Drosophila melanogaster: one gene and its partners. The protein of the gene in region 2 interacts with the protein of the main gene of each other region in a pairwise test. Each region holds a gene or a part of one and is shown on either strand. Other genes may lie near its edges.

Region 1 (3,248 bases), 1.3 Mb from region 2:
TGACCACCTGGCGGGGATTGCATCCGGGCTATACTCACTGGCAAGGGTAGGAACAACCAGATCCGCAGCTGCAGCCATTGTCTTCCAATCTCACACGCACACACACACAGGAACAAGCACGTCGGTGGTGTTGTTGCTGTTGTTTTTGTTGTCGTGTCGTCTGATGTACAATCAGTGTTGGTCAACGATTTCGTGCTTGAATTGGTCACACACGGTTGCCGTGTACGCGGTGTATCGATAAGCGATAGTAAACATGCATGGGCATTGGCGCCACAACGACACGTTTAAACATCAACCAAACCAAACCGAACGTATTTAGAACTCCAACAAAATATCTGCTCCACGTGAATTTAAAAACATTTTAGTACTAAAAAATTTGGAACAGAAACGCTAAGCATTTCGACTGCTCCAATCGAAGGTGTGCTGATGGAATCTATATGTTAGAACAATTATTTTCAAAAATCCAATCGCGGCATATAAAATATGAGCGGTTATTTTCGGATATTTGGCTAGGAAACGGTAGGAAATATTTAGAGTATATATTACATCTTAACACAGCTAAACATTCTTTATTGAACAAATAAATCCAAAGTTATATGAACACAATTTAAATCTAACCAACGAATTTGGCGATTAATTGTGTTTAAATCTATACACTTTCTGATCGCGAGTTTTTATCTTGTAACACGTTAAAATATATACATATATTCTTAATTCGAAAGCTGATTTAAGAGACTAAGAGCCGAACAGCCATTTACTACAAATCTAAATCAGATATTAATAACACCAGGAACTCACAAAATACATAGATCGAAGTGGAATACATATAATTTACATACAACTAAGATATTATATTCCGACATCATCGACTGATGAGATAGCTCTCTGACTAAAGACTTGCCCGCACTTAGTGGACCGTATGAGGCAACACCAAATCTTGGAATTTTAAACATTAAACTAATAGATCACACAAGTCTGTACATTCAGGTAGGGTGAGCCCAGGCTCGGCGCCACTTCAGCGATAGAGCCGCACCTGCTGCTTGAGATCCTGGTCGCTTATTCGGTCCTGGAGGTTCAATTCCGCCTCCTGTTTGCGCAGGAGCTCAAAGATGGCCGCCAGCTGCTCGCGCTCTATTCGGCGCTCCTCCTCGATTTGGCTGGGAGTCAGGGTCTTCTCCATCTTATGCTGGAGCCTCTTGGCCTTGAGCTGGCCCATCAGGTGGTTGTAGCTGTGCTCGGGCAGCTGTTCCTCGATTAGCTCAACTTCGCTTTCGGTGGAGTTCTCTTCGTAGGCCTCGTCATCGTCGGTTTCCTCCCCTTGCGGAGTCCGTGACTCGGAATCCTCCTCATCGCGCGGCTCGTCGGCCCCCAGGCCCTCGTCCTCCAGTTCCTGCAAGATAATGTAAGGAAATATTCCAGGAGACGTCTACTTCTTCCGGCAAAAACACCCACGCCTTTGTCCTTGAAGATGTTGGCGAAGTAGAAGGCGACCAAAACGCACAGCAGAAGGGTGACCAGCGCTACCGAGTAGTGGCCTGGTAGTCCAAGAAAGAGAACATCCAGCGAAGGCAGAAAATCCTGCATTTCGAACTCTTTTTGCTATTTGTTGTGACTGAGTTCACTATTCTTGTTTTTCTTGGGGCGCAGTGTGGCCGTTAGCTGCGAACGAAATATTGCCAAGCAGCGCTAAGCGGATTTTCAAAAGGTTTTTTTTTTAATATTTTATATATTGGAAAAGTGAAGTACCTAATCCAACTTTGTTTAGTAAACTAACACTAAACGCATACATTTTAACAATCAAGAAATGGTAAATTACAAAATGCTTTAATATCGATGAAATCCACGCAGTAGTAGATCATCACATCATTTAAATAAATATTCTTAAGTCTATTGGCTGATGTTCATAGCAGATGTGTCCGAGCTCACATCTGCAATGTGGAATGAGGCATCTTCGGCGGGCATGTCATCCTCATCGGTGTACAATCGGCGTAGGCGCTCCTTATAGCTTTTAAAGTATAAGGGTTATTAAATTCGGAATGCATGAACAAATTAGGGCGTCTTACAGTTCGCTATCAGGATTATTGGCTTGATTTCGGCACTTGTCCAACTTTTTCTCGATGGCCTTGACCTTCTCCCGATCGGGCTGCTGATATTGCTTCACCATTATGCGAATTTCTGTCGGGAAAAAGGCATGTAGGGCTGGGCGCACCATCTCACAGCACAAACTTACTTCGCACGGCATCTATGAGTCCGGGTAGCTTCTCCCTGGCGGAGACAAACAGAAGATCCGTCACATAGCTATCGAGATTCTCTTGCTCTCTGCTGGCCGCGTGGAGGACGGCAGCCAATGCAATTTGCGAAGGCGTATGCAGAAGACAGGCATCCGAGTAGTACGTGGAATCAATGAAACTATCAATATGTGGCCGCAGACGATCTGGATTCTGCATATTGCTGCGAGTCTGAAACAAACCAATATGAACGAAACAATCTGGAGAGCAAATGTGAATATATATCGCACTTTTATATCTATCAGGAAACCCTCGATGGGTCTGAACGGATTGTGTATGGTGAGGTAGTAGTTGAGCTGTCCAATCAGCAGTAATTCATTGGACAACACTATGTCGGTGGCCTTGTTCCTGTCGCCCTTGATGTTGTTTACGAACTGGTTGATGGACACGTTGAACTCCTCAACTTTGCAGGCAACGAACACGCATGTGGCTCTGAAAAGGTTTATACATTTTTAGAATGTTTTGCTTTTCAGCTGGGTGTTTGCTGCTCTCAGGTGAGCGTTCCTACAGAATCTCCTTGGGGTGATAGTCCATGGGGGAGTTGTTCAGATAGAACCGCTTGAAGTAGTGGAAGGCCGTGCCCACAACGCACTTGGGCATCGTCGGTTCGAAGCGGCGGCAGAAATCGAACAGGTAGATCTCGTACTGCTTCAGCAACAGGCGCTCCTCCGCCGACGTGAGAAAGTGCTCATTGAGGTCGCGACCCTGCGCCTCCTCCTCGTGCGACTCGATGTACTTGCTGTTCTGCTCCACGCGGAACTCCATGAGCTGGCCCTCATTGGCGAATGTCCAGGACCTCTTTTGCGAGCTCACAGGATACATCTTGCTCAGCTGCCGGCGAATTTATGCCGATTCGAAACTCAGACACCCTGCATGGTGTTACCGATTGCGGGACGGAGAAAAATACCAGTTGTGAAAAAATATTAGGGTGATTCGTACAATAGTCACTTTTATTTCATT
Region 2 (7,004 bases):
GCTAAAGCAACTCAAAAACAGTTAGTTTATGCACTTTAAAGGGCGGCAGTTTAGTTCGTATCGATATTGCATTCGCTTGGCAATTGATAACAAGTCTAAATGATCAACTAACAAAATTAGTTGACTATTAGCACATTATGATGAAATTATCGCTTATACTGACTCACTGCTGATAATCTCAAAAAAATATTAATGGCGAAATGCAAATAGCGGGTTTTTCCCTTTATATACACAAAGGTAATCCAAGCCCTCACTTATGTGAAACAGTTTGATAATGCGAACAGGTACACGTCTAGCGATTTTCAAAACAACAGGCGACTTATTCAACAACAAGCACCGGGAATGCCTTTTAGACAAAAGGCATCTCAAAATACCTTGCAGCACTTCCCTGAAAATCCCTTTCATCTCACTAATCCGTCTTTCCAAGATTATAAAATTCTCAAAACTTTCTAAGCCATCTCTTGCAATTCCGTAAAACCCACCAAAGAAAAATGTTTGCAGATGCTCTTTTAAATAGATATTGAAAAATATTTTAATATAAAAAATCATTACAACTATTCTGTTTTTTTTGTGTGGGGGATAACCCTTCCCTCACATTAAAGATATAATCTTATGTGTGCCATATTGTTTTTTTTTCTCCTTTTGTATCGTTTTTCTTATATGCTTATTGTATCGAAACATTTGACGATTGTTCAACAAAAAGTACAATCAGGATACAATACGATTCAACTATAATATGTCTACAAATGTTTATGGTTGTTCTATATGATGTATGATGATGAAATTGAAATTCTTAACACGAAGTTCGGCGTACATTTGTATTGGATATAATGCACGGTTGGGTGCTAAGACATACGGCTAAAGCAAAATATATGGAGCATCTATAAATGCTTTTCTGTATCATTAGATTTGCTGCCTTGATATAATGTTAAATATATAAAATTATATAAAATATGAAAACGCTTAGTTTCAACCATTGCCCAAAGGCCTGTTTTAGTTTGCTGGCTTAGTAATTAGAAATTACATTTTTATAGGTATGTACTGAATGAGAAGGTGTCGAAAATATAGACTTCCGATAAAAATACAAATGAGTTGGAATACGGTTGGCTGTATAGATGTGTATACTTCGTTTTCTTATATGGAACGCATCGTGTTCTGTTTTCGATTGATGTGCATATTGATAGATTGAAAACGATTATATATATTTCCTCTTTCTCCTTTTTGTTTATGGCATCTTTCAGTCAATGACCACACGGGTAAGGAGTATGCCACGCTTGCTCAACCATAGCCTATAAATAAATACCATTACATGAAATGTGAATCTGGTGAAGATTGCTAGAGACCCTTACCCGAATCCAGCTCCCAGCAGCAGGGACAGGACGTTGGTCACCAGCAGCGAGTACAGAATTTCGCGGGAGAACAACGAGTTGGAGCCCAGTCGCTTCAAACGGATGGAGTAGCCTGTGTTAGTCTTCTTTTTCTCGCCCTCGTCGCCGGCATCCCGACTTGAATCCTCAATGTTCCAGCTACTGTAAATAATAATTCAATGAATGACCATTTGTGGTAAAAGGCCGCAATGCTCCAAACTTAGTTCTAGATTCTAGAAACTTAGCTAAATAAACTTTCATACCTGGGTGGCTGATTCCAGTTCTTCAGCCAATCTTCATTGCCTGCATTCTGTTTGTCTCCTCCCTGGCAAAAGCAAAAACAGAGACTGGCATTGTTAGCAAGATCACCTCGGTTCCGCCTCGATTCTCATCTCTTACCTTGGTCCAGTAGTTGATGTACACGTTTCTGAGCTCATCATCCGGACAGAGCTCCGACTGGGGACTGTTCGGTGGACTCTTGGGGCTATCACGGGGCGTATCACGACGGGAGCTGGCCAAGGAGACGACACGGCTCGACTGGTTCGACTCGCGCTGGGCCTCGCGCAGAAGTCTCAGGTACTCCTCGCCATTGTTGAATGGCAACGGAGTGATTCTGTCGGGGCTCTTGATGCCAGCCATCGCAGCTGTTGTGCTGAGTTCGATCCAAGATTCTGGAAAGTAGATCATTAGCATGATAGACTGGCGAACAAAGTGGGTGAAAGCTAAAGCCAAATGGGGTGAAATTAAATATTTAGTTGGTTGCATTTGGAGGTGGTTAAATATAGCACAGGCTCGAGGGTCGAAACCTTTTGGGGCGTGTTGAATAAACATGAGAAGTCCAAACACAGACGTGCGTTATGACGTTCTTTATTGAATTTATACAAACGAAAACGTTCTAGGTTCGTTAACAACAATTTTTAATTTAATTTTAGAAATTTTCATACAGAACATATCAATATTTTACGATGTTTAAGTTTTGAATGGTTTAACCCTATTTAACTGTTTATTTATGAAACAGTTTATTTATTTCTAAGCTGATAAACGTCAGTTTAAAGTAATCCCTTGTCTAAAATTACACTTGCTGACAAAATAAAGTAGTTTCACTTGTTTACTCAGAAAGGCGTGCAGTTTGAGAGCCACTGTGCGGCGGCAGCGGCTCTAAAAATGTGCCATCGTCACCCTTTCAGCGTTTGTCTTCGTTTTTGTTTACACGTAAAAACATTTTAACCATACATACGTTCGATTCGTTAGCCGGATCTGCAATGTATGTGCTTGTATATATCTGTTCGAGTGCTCGTGCCCCATTGATAACGCTAAAAACCCCACCACTCGCATAATTTCCGTTTCTTTTCGGCATACTGTGTATATAAAGCAGCACACATGTTTTGTTTATAGTCTATACAAGCCGATGCTTATCAATGCTCTACGGAGAAAATTTCATTTTCAAAACAAATCGAGAAAAAAGACAAACTGGCGATGCAATATGGGCACGAGAAGCGTGCAAGTTACTTGATAAGGAGTACAGTGTAGCGTTCCTAAAAACTACCTAATAATACAACCAACTGATTACATGTATACGCATATATATAATCACACATACGATCACACCCAACGCCTCTTATATCATCTATTATTCACTTTCTAATTAATTAAAATTAATTTTTTCTATAATTTTGTAATGTCACATTATAAATTTAAAATCTTCCTGGTATTGCTTTCTCTCGAGTTATCACTGTACAATCATCTAATTTAGACACTTTCGCGATGGAATCAGTTACAGAATAATTCAGATCACTCACGTGGCACACCAATCATGCTGACAATTGAATACTAAATGCATCGTCTAGACGAAAAGGATGATGCATTTATGATGGAAATGTTGCGAAAATAGAAAATGGAAATGCCCGTATGTCAGGTAGACGCAGAAGTTTTGCACAGGTAAACAATATTTGGAGCATTATCGGGAATCCGGGTTACAGGTACGAAAATGGAAACAAAAACAAAAGCAAAAGTGCACAGAAGGGTGGCAAAAACAAAAACAATGGCTTTGTGACTCACGGCACGTAGGCCTCTCTCCCTCTCTTTCGGCCAACCACCCTCCGTCTCTCTCTAACAATCACTCCCCCTCTCTCTCTCTCTTTCTACCCTACCCTCTTCGGGCTTTGTCGGGTGTGCATCTTGATGCGCAGCTGTCCAAAAGACCCTGAGTTGGGCCCATTGAACCGCCTTTATTATTGGATGGATGACTCCTCGGTATCATGATACGATTTCTTGCGTAGTATATGGCACAGTGCACAAAGAAAAAATGTTTCTCTAAGTTGGTCATTCATTTCGCACGTGTTTTAAGGTCAAGAAACAGATCAAGCCGGCGCATTACTTACACACTTATTTCATATACATATGTACATACTTAGCTTTAAAAGATTAATATCAGATTCATTCAAACGTATAGAAATACATATGAATAATATTTATATGCTATCATTGATAACGGAATTCCACATCCAAACTGTGTCAAACCTTTCAAAAGTGATGTATTTCATAACATATGGTTCGATTTGGGCTAAAACTGATTAGATTAATACTGCTTGGATGGTAGTAAATTGAAAAACAAATTTTTCGTCCGGCATTACTTTTGTGAGTGACTTTGCAGAATTGTAGTATAATTTCTGTGGTAGTCAACAACCTTTTCGACAAACAAACAAAGTGCTTTCAAGCAGTCAACCAAAAAGATTATACTTTATGTCAACAAAATATTTCAACATTTCGTGCAATTCCTAAGAAAATTTATTGAATATTGTCCATCATACGATTTTCATAAAATTAAGAGATTTTGAAAAACACATTCAAGTACGTTGATGAGTATAAATTTATATAACCTAGTTTTTCCGCGAGTGTAAACGTGGATGTTGATAAAGTGGGCAGCCGAAATACAATTGAAGCGAATATGCCAAAGGCGCAATTTCTGGAAACGACCGATAGGGAAATGCCCTCCCACAAAATGTATTTATTTACGAATTATTTTAGCAAGCCAGACGGAAGAAGAAGACCGGGTCGGGGAAATGGGGAGCGCAAAAAGTAAACCACAACTGACGTCAAGCGTGCTAAGTGCAAAGTAAAGGAACAAGACATGACATGAATGAAAGAGCGGAGGGAGAAAGAGTGCGTTGGCAGCTTCTTTGTCTTTGTTTTCATACGGAGTTTTGCGGATTCTTTGTTGTCTCTCTTTCTTTCTCGCCCCCTCTGCGGAGCAAGAACAAGTGCAAAGTAAACAAATAAAAGCAGAAAGAAATCAAAAAGCAGACAACGCAAAGCCTTGAAAAAATATGGGATGCGGATACTAACAAATTGCAAACAACTCCATAAATACATACACATGTCTAGATACTCTCGCAACAACAACAATGCGGCATAACGGGTTACCATGTTATTGTTATGATTGTAAAAAGGGGAGACGCAAAAAAACACGAATGAAAGAGCAAAGCAGACGAAAACAAACAACTTACCGCCCAGCAAATCTTCGCTCGATTTTGGTGTCGTAGACATTTTGTTTTTGTTTATCGGTATGTGTGTTCAACACGTCAACACCAAAGATAACTTGGGTTTATTGCTTATTATTAACTCGCTTTAAAGTTAAACTATTTCTATTATTCTTTCGTGAGTTTGACCAAGTTTTTTTTGGCCCTTCCGTATGTCTGCCTGTGTTTGTGTATTCGCTTTTGCTGTTTATGTATGCGTAGGAAAATGCGTTTTACTTTTCGTTTGGCGCTGTTTCTCCGCCGCTGCACTCGATTTGACTATAACTACTGGTTTCGGACTGAAGCCAACCGCTGGAGCTCCGAAATATTGCAACTTTGTTTAATGCTTCTCCCGAAGCGACTGTCTTGTAACTAAAATTAAACACGATTCGTTTCTACGCACAAGCTTAATGCGTAGTTTAAATCTTTTGTTGCTGTCCAGTGTGACCAGATGGAGAAACGGTAGCAATCCAGGTGCGTGTCTATGTTTTCCTACATCTGGCATCCCTTGTATCAAGTAAATTTATTGGTGGTTATTTTTAAAATGATAAAACTTGGTTTCTGTTGACTTTTGAAAATATATGCATATGCATATATGAATATGAAAAGTATATATACATTTACTTTTATTTTATTCTTATCTCGTTTTCAAAAACAAATCAAATGTTTCCAAATCACTTTTAGCCACATTTCGGACGAAATAAAAGTTATTGCCTTCCACTATAGTTTTTGGCGATATATACAGGTCTTTTTGCGGATCATATTGCGCTCTTCCAAGCAATTTCAGGAACTCATGACGTTCCCGCAGTCTAAATTCGCGTGAGGCCAAAAGCTCCGGGCACTGGACAATCTGGGCATGTGGAAGGCCCATATCCTGGTGAATGTAACTAAATCGCTCGACAAGATCATCCGGAGCTGCAAGGATAAGTTGTTTAATTACAAATGTCCTTAATTTTGAATGTAGATAGACTTACGAATCATCAAGAGGCGCGGCTTTCGTACCACCAGGTCACTTAGCTCCTTGGCATTGAATCCCATTTCCTCCTTAAGGGTGAACACAGACTTGCGGAGGTGTTCCATATTGTAGGTAATGGCATTGGGTTCTCTGGTGGCCAACAGTCGCAGATCATGACCACTCAATTTGAACTCCTTTTGGAAGTAACCCAATCGACGATCCACTCGCCTGGTGGAGAACATCAGCCAATAAGGATTCTGGGTGAGAATTCTTTGCCTGGCTTCGTCCGAGAATCTCTTGCTTTTTAGATAGTTCACTCTGGTCTGCAGATCGTCCAAGTCCTCCTTGAACAGCAGCGGGTTCTTGGTGAACATCCTGCCGAAGTCATCGGGTGATACGCCCTGATCCACCAGGAACGTTATGTAGGGCTTCACATTTTTCTCGAAATCCAGCTTCAGTACAAAGTCTCCCAATCCCTTTCGCCGTTCAATACTGTGCAGATCCACTCCCAAGCTGAGAAATTGCTGCAGGGTACTCGAGTTGTTCACATAGGCCGCCAAATTGAAGGAAGGCACATGGGCCTCCCGATTTCGGAAGTCCAGAGCCACTTCTTTGGAGCCTTCACATTCCGCAGGCTCGGTCTTCTTGTCATTCTGTTTGGTGGTTATACCCGGTGATGTTAACACTTCTACCTCATGGTGGACACTTTGTTGTCCTCGCAGATTTCGTATTTGTGAGGTAATTGTTGCGTTTTTAGCCGCATTTTGTGAATTCCTCAAAATGTTACGTAGAGCTGAACAAAACATGCTGGAGGCGTTGCCAGATGTCGCGAATGTGACCAGCAGTTGGCTGCCAAAGTTTCTAAATATGGCATGCTAGCTAGAAAAAGCTAAAATTATATTTTGAATATGATTTTGATATAAAAACATATTTGTTTTTAAATGGATATTCTTGAACAAAAATGCACTACTAATATCTGATTTCTTTAGTTTTTTTATGAAGATATATATAAAATTGCAAATTGTTGGTATAATTTTTAATCGGACGGTATATGTTAACGGTTACCACCACGGTCACACTAGGTATGATCTTGGATTTATTTTGGTGTGAAAATTCCGGAGCATAAAAACAGAAGAGACCCTTGTATGTGCAAAACCCCCCGAG
Region 3 (4,850 bases), on a different chromosome or scaffold from region 2:
ACTAAGATACTTTTTACTGAGTTTTTTTAAATTGAAGAAATTTTTTAGTTTACAGACCTAATACGTAAATATGTTGTACAATTAAACAGTTCTAAAATCGATTCCGATTATGAAATGAGCAAATGAGAATTCATGTTGAGAACGTACGATTGCAAGGATATCAAAAACAAAGTTTCGAAGGAAGAAACGCGAAACCTAAAACCAAATGAGAAACCGAAATTTAACTAGAGAATTCTTTTCAAATATCAAATAAAGCAAGAACATTAATAATATAATATAATATTTCAGCCACGATGGGAGAGCTAAGAAGTGAATAAAACAAACGAATGCAACCAACCCAGTAACAACAACAACAACACACACACACATTTCAATTGCGCTCGTTTAGCCCATATATAGTATATTTCAATTAAAAGAACGAAAAAAAAAACAACACATTACAATATTTCAATATGTCATTAAGTCACAGCGAATAAACAACAACAATAAGTTGAAGGCGACTTACAAATCTAAACGAGAGAGAAACTGCGATCGTGTGTGCGAGGGAGAGAGAGAGAGAGAGAGTTGGTATAGAGATATAGTAACTATATGTATATATATCATCAGCGACGATCTCCGTTGGCGCCAAAAATCGAGCGATACTAACTAAATTTGCTAAGGTCTTTCAGCCGCTTGGTTTATGCGTGCTGTCTAAATCGTGATTGGTAGATATTACATTTAATATTGATCTAGAGTTTTTATAAATAATTGTTAACTAGTGACAACAGTGCGTCAATTGTTGTATTGCTCGCATCGAAACGCACTGTGGTTTATTATCGAATAAGTACTATTAGAACAGTGCGTTTGGCAACAGTCGAATTCGACGTTTTAAAGATATATAACATTATTTTAAATACTTCTAGGAGATTAATTTTGTAAGCCTCACTTTTCGATTTTTGCGTATATAGCCTTTGAGATTATCTGCACGTTTGATTTATCGTTTATATTCATGTTTTAATTTTGACAACCTTTAGTTGTTATGTTCTTAACGCGTATATTTGAATCGTTGAGATATTTAAATAATTTTTGATTAAAAGCTACCAACTGATATTTTTAAAGTCTTTACAACAAAAACGTTGACAAATTTACAAATTTTCAAGTGTTAAATATTCCTATTTTTTGATTACGATCTGAATGTTGGCCAAAACGCACTGTTCGCGCTGATCGCGTTCTAGCTAACACGCATAAACCGAAATCAGCCTGAGTGAGAGAGAGAGAGAGAGCGCTAGTTTCAACTTTGTGAGTTATTAGCCTAAGCTGAACTTGTGTCTTTTTTGGTTTGGTTTAAGGAAATGTGGTTTTCTACTGTGTAAAAGTGTGCTGCGTCCGTGCGGTAGGACGCGATTAGGTATCAATGGCCTGGTCATCGTTGTCATCCTCCGGCTCATGGCCACGTCCCTCGCGAATTCGCTTCAATTTGCGCTTAAGCATCATGACGCCTGCCAGGGAAAATGATTGTTAATCAGATATTCAACATCGGTTAGTGCAGGAAGCTTACATTTTATGGCCTGAAAGGTTTTGGCCGAGGCCGAACTGGTTTCGGAGGGCAGCGAATTGGACGTGGTTCTAATGTGTGCCAGCTTTACCTCCAAATAGGCCTTCTTCAGTGTCTTGTAGTGCCGGAACTCACTGGTGTCCTTGACCAGGATGCACTTAGCCGCCGATCCCTCGCCCGAACAATCCGACGGCGCTGTGTGATATATCTGATGGTAGAAGTATTGCAGCACCGGCGAGTTCCAAATGGAGAGGCCGTACCACAACCAAATGGGCACATTCAGGGAAAGCTTAAAGTTCTTGGCGAACAGCGTGGGTATGAAGTACTTAAAGGGCAGTAGGTTGACAAACACATACGCCCACACCATGATGCGCAGACCGAGGAAAACCTGGTAGATGATCCGGTGTGAATTGGTGCTGGGCAGGACCAACAGGGCTAGCACCTCGGTGAGTATGCTGTACAGACCCACCGTTAGATTCAGGCCCACAAAGTAGTTTTCGTACCTAAAAATAAAGAGTATTTAATATTTTCGAGCTTAAATGGCTCCAGGCTAGAATGGTAGGGACCAAACGTGTCTCGACTTGCCTGTAAACATCGATGGCGACGAGGGACAGCAGGTAGAGTCCCTTGGAGCCCACCTCCAGGAAGTCAGCGTCCTTGAAGTCCAACCACGCCCCATGCAGGTAGAACGTGATAATGAAGATCGAGTAGAACTGAAACTTTTCCGCCTGATGAGATCGATAGAAGATCAGGTTCTCCGAGGAGTAGAAGAGCGAGTAGCGTCCTTGGTTCTTCATCAGCTGCGGCAGGATCATGAACTCGTTGTAGAAGTGCAGGAACAGGCAGCTGGCCGCATAGAAGGCGATGTTCCAAATGACGCGGGCGAACAGCCTCCGCTGAAAGTGCTTCATGCTCGACGACTTCAGAAAGAACTGAAAAGGGAGAGGAGCAATTAGTCGAGCATTGGTCTTGGGTCACTACAGATAATGGTTTATATGGCTTATGGTCAGCGCCGATGGGTCGACTGTCACCGGACTTATGCTATCACCAAAGCCAGGAGCGAAGTGCCAACCGAATGGGGAAGGAAGTACATCTGAATCCCTTAAACAATGACTGTCGGGAGTAAAATCAATACTATCTTCGCCTTATATTGATTTTACAAGAGACAACATATTTAAATAATAATCATTTACAGCTTAGTTGCAAGCCAAAACAATACAAAAAGTGCCGCATTTCGTTGTGTTTTGAAGCTTTTCAAAGGGTTGGTAACAGTATTTTTAGCGCCCCACTCGGTTGGCACCCCGTCCACCCCCGGAATGCGCGAATCCGGCACCGTGTCCGCTCTGTTTATTTATAAACGGCAAATTGGCCGAGCAACCCCTCAAAAGAAAAGTGCAATTGGAGGCGCCGCGTCGAGGGTGCTGCGATTGAAAGGATTTGCCACGTGCTGGACCCACCTGGAAGAGCCGCTGGAAGGCGTAGTAGCCGCAAGACAACGCCACGAATATCCAAAAGACCCCGTTGATCAGGTAATAGAGGTCTATGTCCCGCACCATCGAATCGAAGCGGTCGTTGGTGATCAGGTATTTCAGCGGCAGAAAGAAGTTGCTGATCTCCGCCCAGTAGTCGGGCGGACCGGCCTTCATGTCCAGAATGGAGGTCATGCTGCTCCTCGGCGGGATTTCCCGTTCTGCCGCCCCAGAATCGCGAGTTGGTGTTCCTCGTTTTCAGCCGAAAATTGGGAGAATTTGTTTCGTTTCTATGTATCGATAGTAACCGATAGCTTCGCAAATATAACGTGAAATCAACGGCTATCGATTATAGAACCGCTGCAAAGTACTGCGCTTCTGTTACAGTGCTGTTAGCGTTAACAGCGCGCAAAGTGCGCCAAATTTGAATGACAGTACATTACTTCAGTTATAAGGGGCTTTACCAATTAACATTAAATGTGTATTACATTTTCAAAATGTATAAGAATATTTTTCGCTTCAAGGACCCACCAATATGACCTCCTCTTTGGCCAAAATCGAGGACTTTCCCTCCGATCCCGTTGAATTTTTTAAGGAGATCCTTCAGGAAGCTGCCAAGGGACATCCCGATGGATTCATACAGGAAATGAACCTGGCCACCGTGGACGAGGAATTCGGTGTGCTCAACCGCACTGTTCTGTACCGCGGACTCACCCAGGATAACTGTGTGTTCTACATCACCCATCGGTACGTTCGCAACTTCAAGAACCTTCAGGCCAATCCCAAGGCCTGCATCACCTTCTATATGCCAGATGTTAAGGATAAGGCCGGAAATCAGAATGCCTGGCAGGTGAGATTGATTGGAGCCACCGCCGTGGAACTTGACCAAAGCGAAATGGATGCTTTGTGGGCGAAGGAGAATTTGGCTGCCCAAATCAGGGGTCACATCTGTCCCTGTGGAGAACCGATTAACTACGATGATCTCAAGGCAAAGCACGATCAGTTCCTTCTGGATCACAGAGGAAAATCCATCGAGAGACCAGCAAGCTAGTGAGTTTCGAAGTTTATATGTATATCTATATTTAGTAAATTAACATATACATAATTACAACTTCTTCTAGTACCGCTTGGAAATTCCAACCGCAGCGTTGGGACTTCCTGAAGGTGGGTCTCGACCAAATCGCAGACCGGGTGCAGTACCGCCTTCAGAAGGATGGGAAATGGAAATCCATGCACGTGTCCACCTAATTGTGGTATACCCCCAGTAAAGCCATTATCTTGATTTTGGACGATTTCATTTTATTCAACAATATCTTTCTACAAACAGCTAAACGTACAGACTAACAACTAAATTTGCTTCCTTTTCGACATGTTTAACATACAATTACAACATAGTTAATAAATATTACACAAAACAGCAAAAAAAAGGACGTTTAAAGAATACAGTTAGCATAGAGTTACATAGGTTCGAGTAACATTAGAGCAGGTTAGTTACATAGTACATATGCTTAATTGCCTTACTTGCTTTGCTACACACACACATAATACCCAGTGAGTTTCGGTTCCGTTTTCTACACAAATGCGCTGAGGGGCGTGCCGCCGCCCCCTGGTGAACTATCCCGACTATATCGCGCTGATCGTCTCGCGGATCCAGGCGGCATTCGAGGCGATCTTGTCGTACATCCTGGGCCGCTCCACGCCCGTGGGTCCGCACGCGATCCGCCAGGAGGAGACCCCAATGAGCGCCCACTGATTCGTTCCGGGAATCAGGCACTGGACAGGCGCTCCCGAATACTCCTCTTGCTGAAAATGAACAATATGAAATTCAAAATATAATAATAAAATAT

What was found. The genes of interacting proteins can lie anywhere in the genome.
Region 1: the proteins of BNIP3 (region 2) and CG7407 interact in a two-hybrid assay, tested with the Drosophila melanogaster proteins (one large-scale study listed by BioGRID).
Region 3: the proteins of BNIP3 (region 2) and CG1636 interact in a two-hybrid assay, tested with the Drosophila melanogaster proteins (one large-scale study listed by BioGRID).

The regions. Positions count from the first base shown.
Region 1 is NT_037436.4:21,821,868-21,825,115, reverse strand, and holds CG7407 (uncharacterized protein), read right to left. Parts: upstream 1,656-3,248; 5' UTR 1,585-1,655; coding exon 1,453-1,584; intron 1,391-1,452; coding exon 1,016-1,390; 3' UTR 545-1,015; downstream 1-544. Other genes in the region: eIF2A (eukaryotic translation initiation factor 2A), read right to left, coding at 39-78; CycH (cyclin H), read right to left, coding at 1,888-2,005, 2,064-2,175, 2,231-2,459, 2,519-2,720, 2,797-3,110.
Region 2 is NT_037436.4:20,514,095-20,521,098, forward strand, and holds BNIP3 (BNIP3), read right to left. Parts: upstream 5,300-7,004; 5' UTR 4,914-5,299; coding exon 4,874-4,913; intron 3,211-4,873; exon of another isoform or gene 3,183-3,210; coding exon of another isoform or gene 3,167-3,182; exon of another isoform or gene 2,605-3,166; intron 2,039-2,604; coding exon 1,767-2,038; intron 1,693-1,766; coding exon 1,631-1,692; intron 1,530-1,630; coding exon 1,350-1,529; intron 1,290-1,349; coding exon 1,238-1,289; 3' UTR 505-1,237; downstream 1-504. Other genes in the region: mTerf3 (mitochondrial transcription termination factor 3), read right to left, coding at 5,523-5,800, 5,860-6,646.
Region 3 is NC_004354.4:8,271,896-8,276,745, reverse strand, and holds CG1636 (uncharacterized protein), read right to left. Parts: upstream 3,335-4,850; 5' UTR 3,199-3,334; coding exon 2,992-3,198; exon of another isoform or gene 2,940-2,991; intron 2,467-2,939; coding exon 2,120-2,466; intron 2,038-2,119; coding exon 1,538-2,037; intron 1,479-1,537; coding exon 1,384-1,478; 3' UTR 545-1,383; downstream 1-544. Other genes in the region: CG15343 (uncharacterized protein), read left to right, coding at 3,539-4,053, 4,125-4,251; CG1632 (uncharacterized protein), read right to left, coding at 4,627-4,806.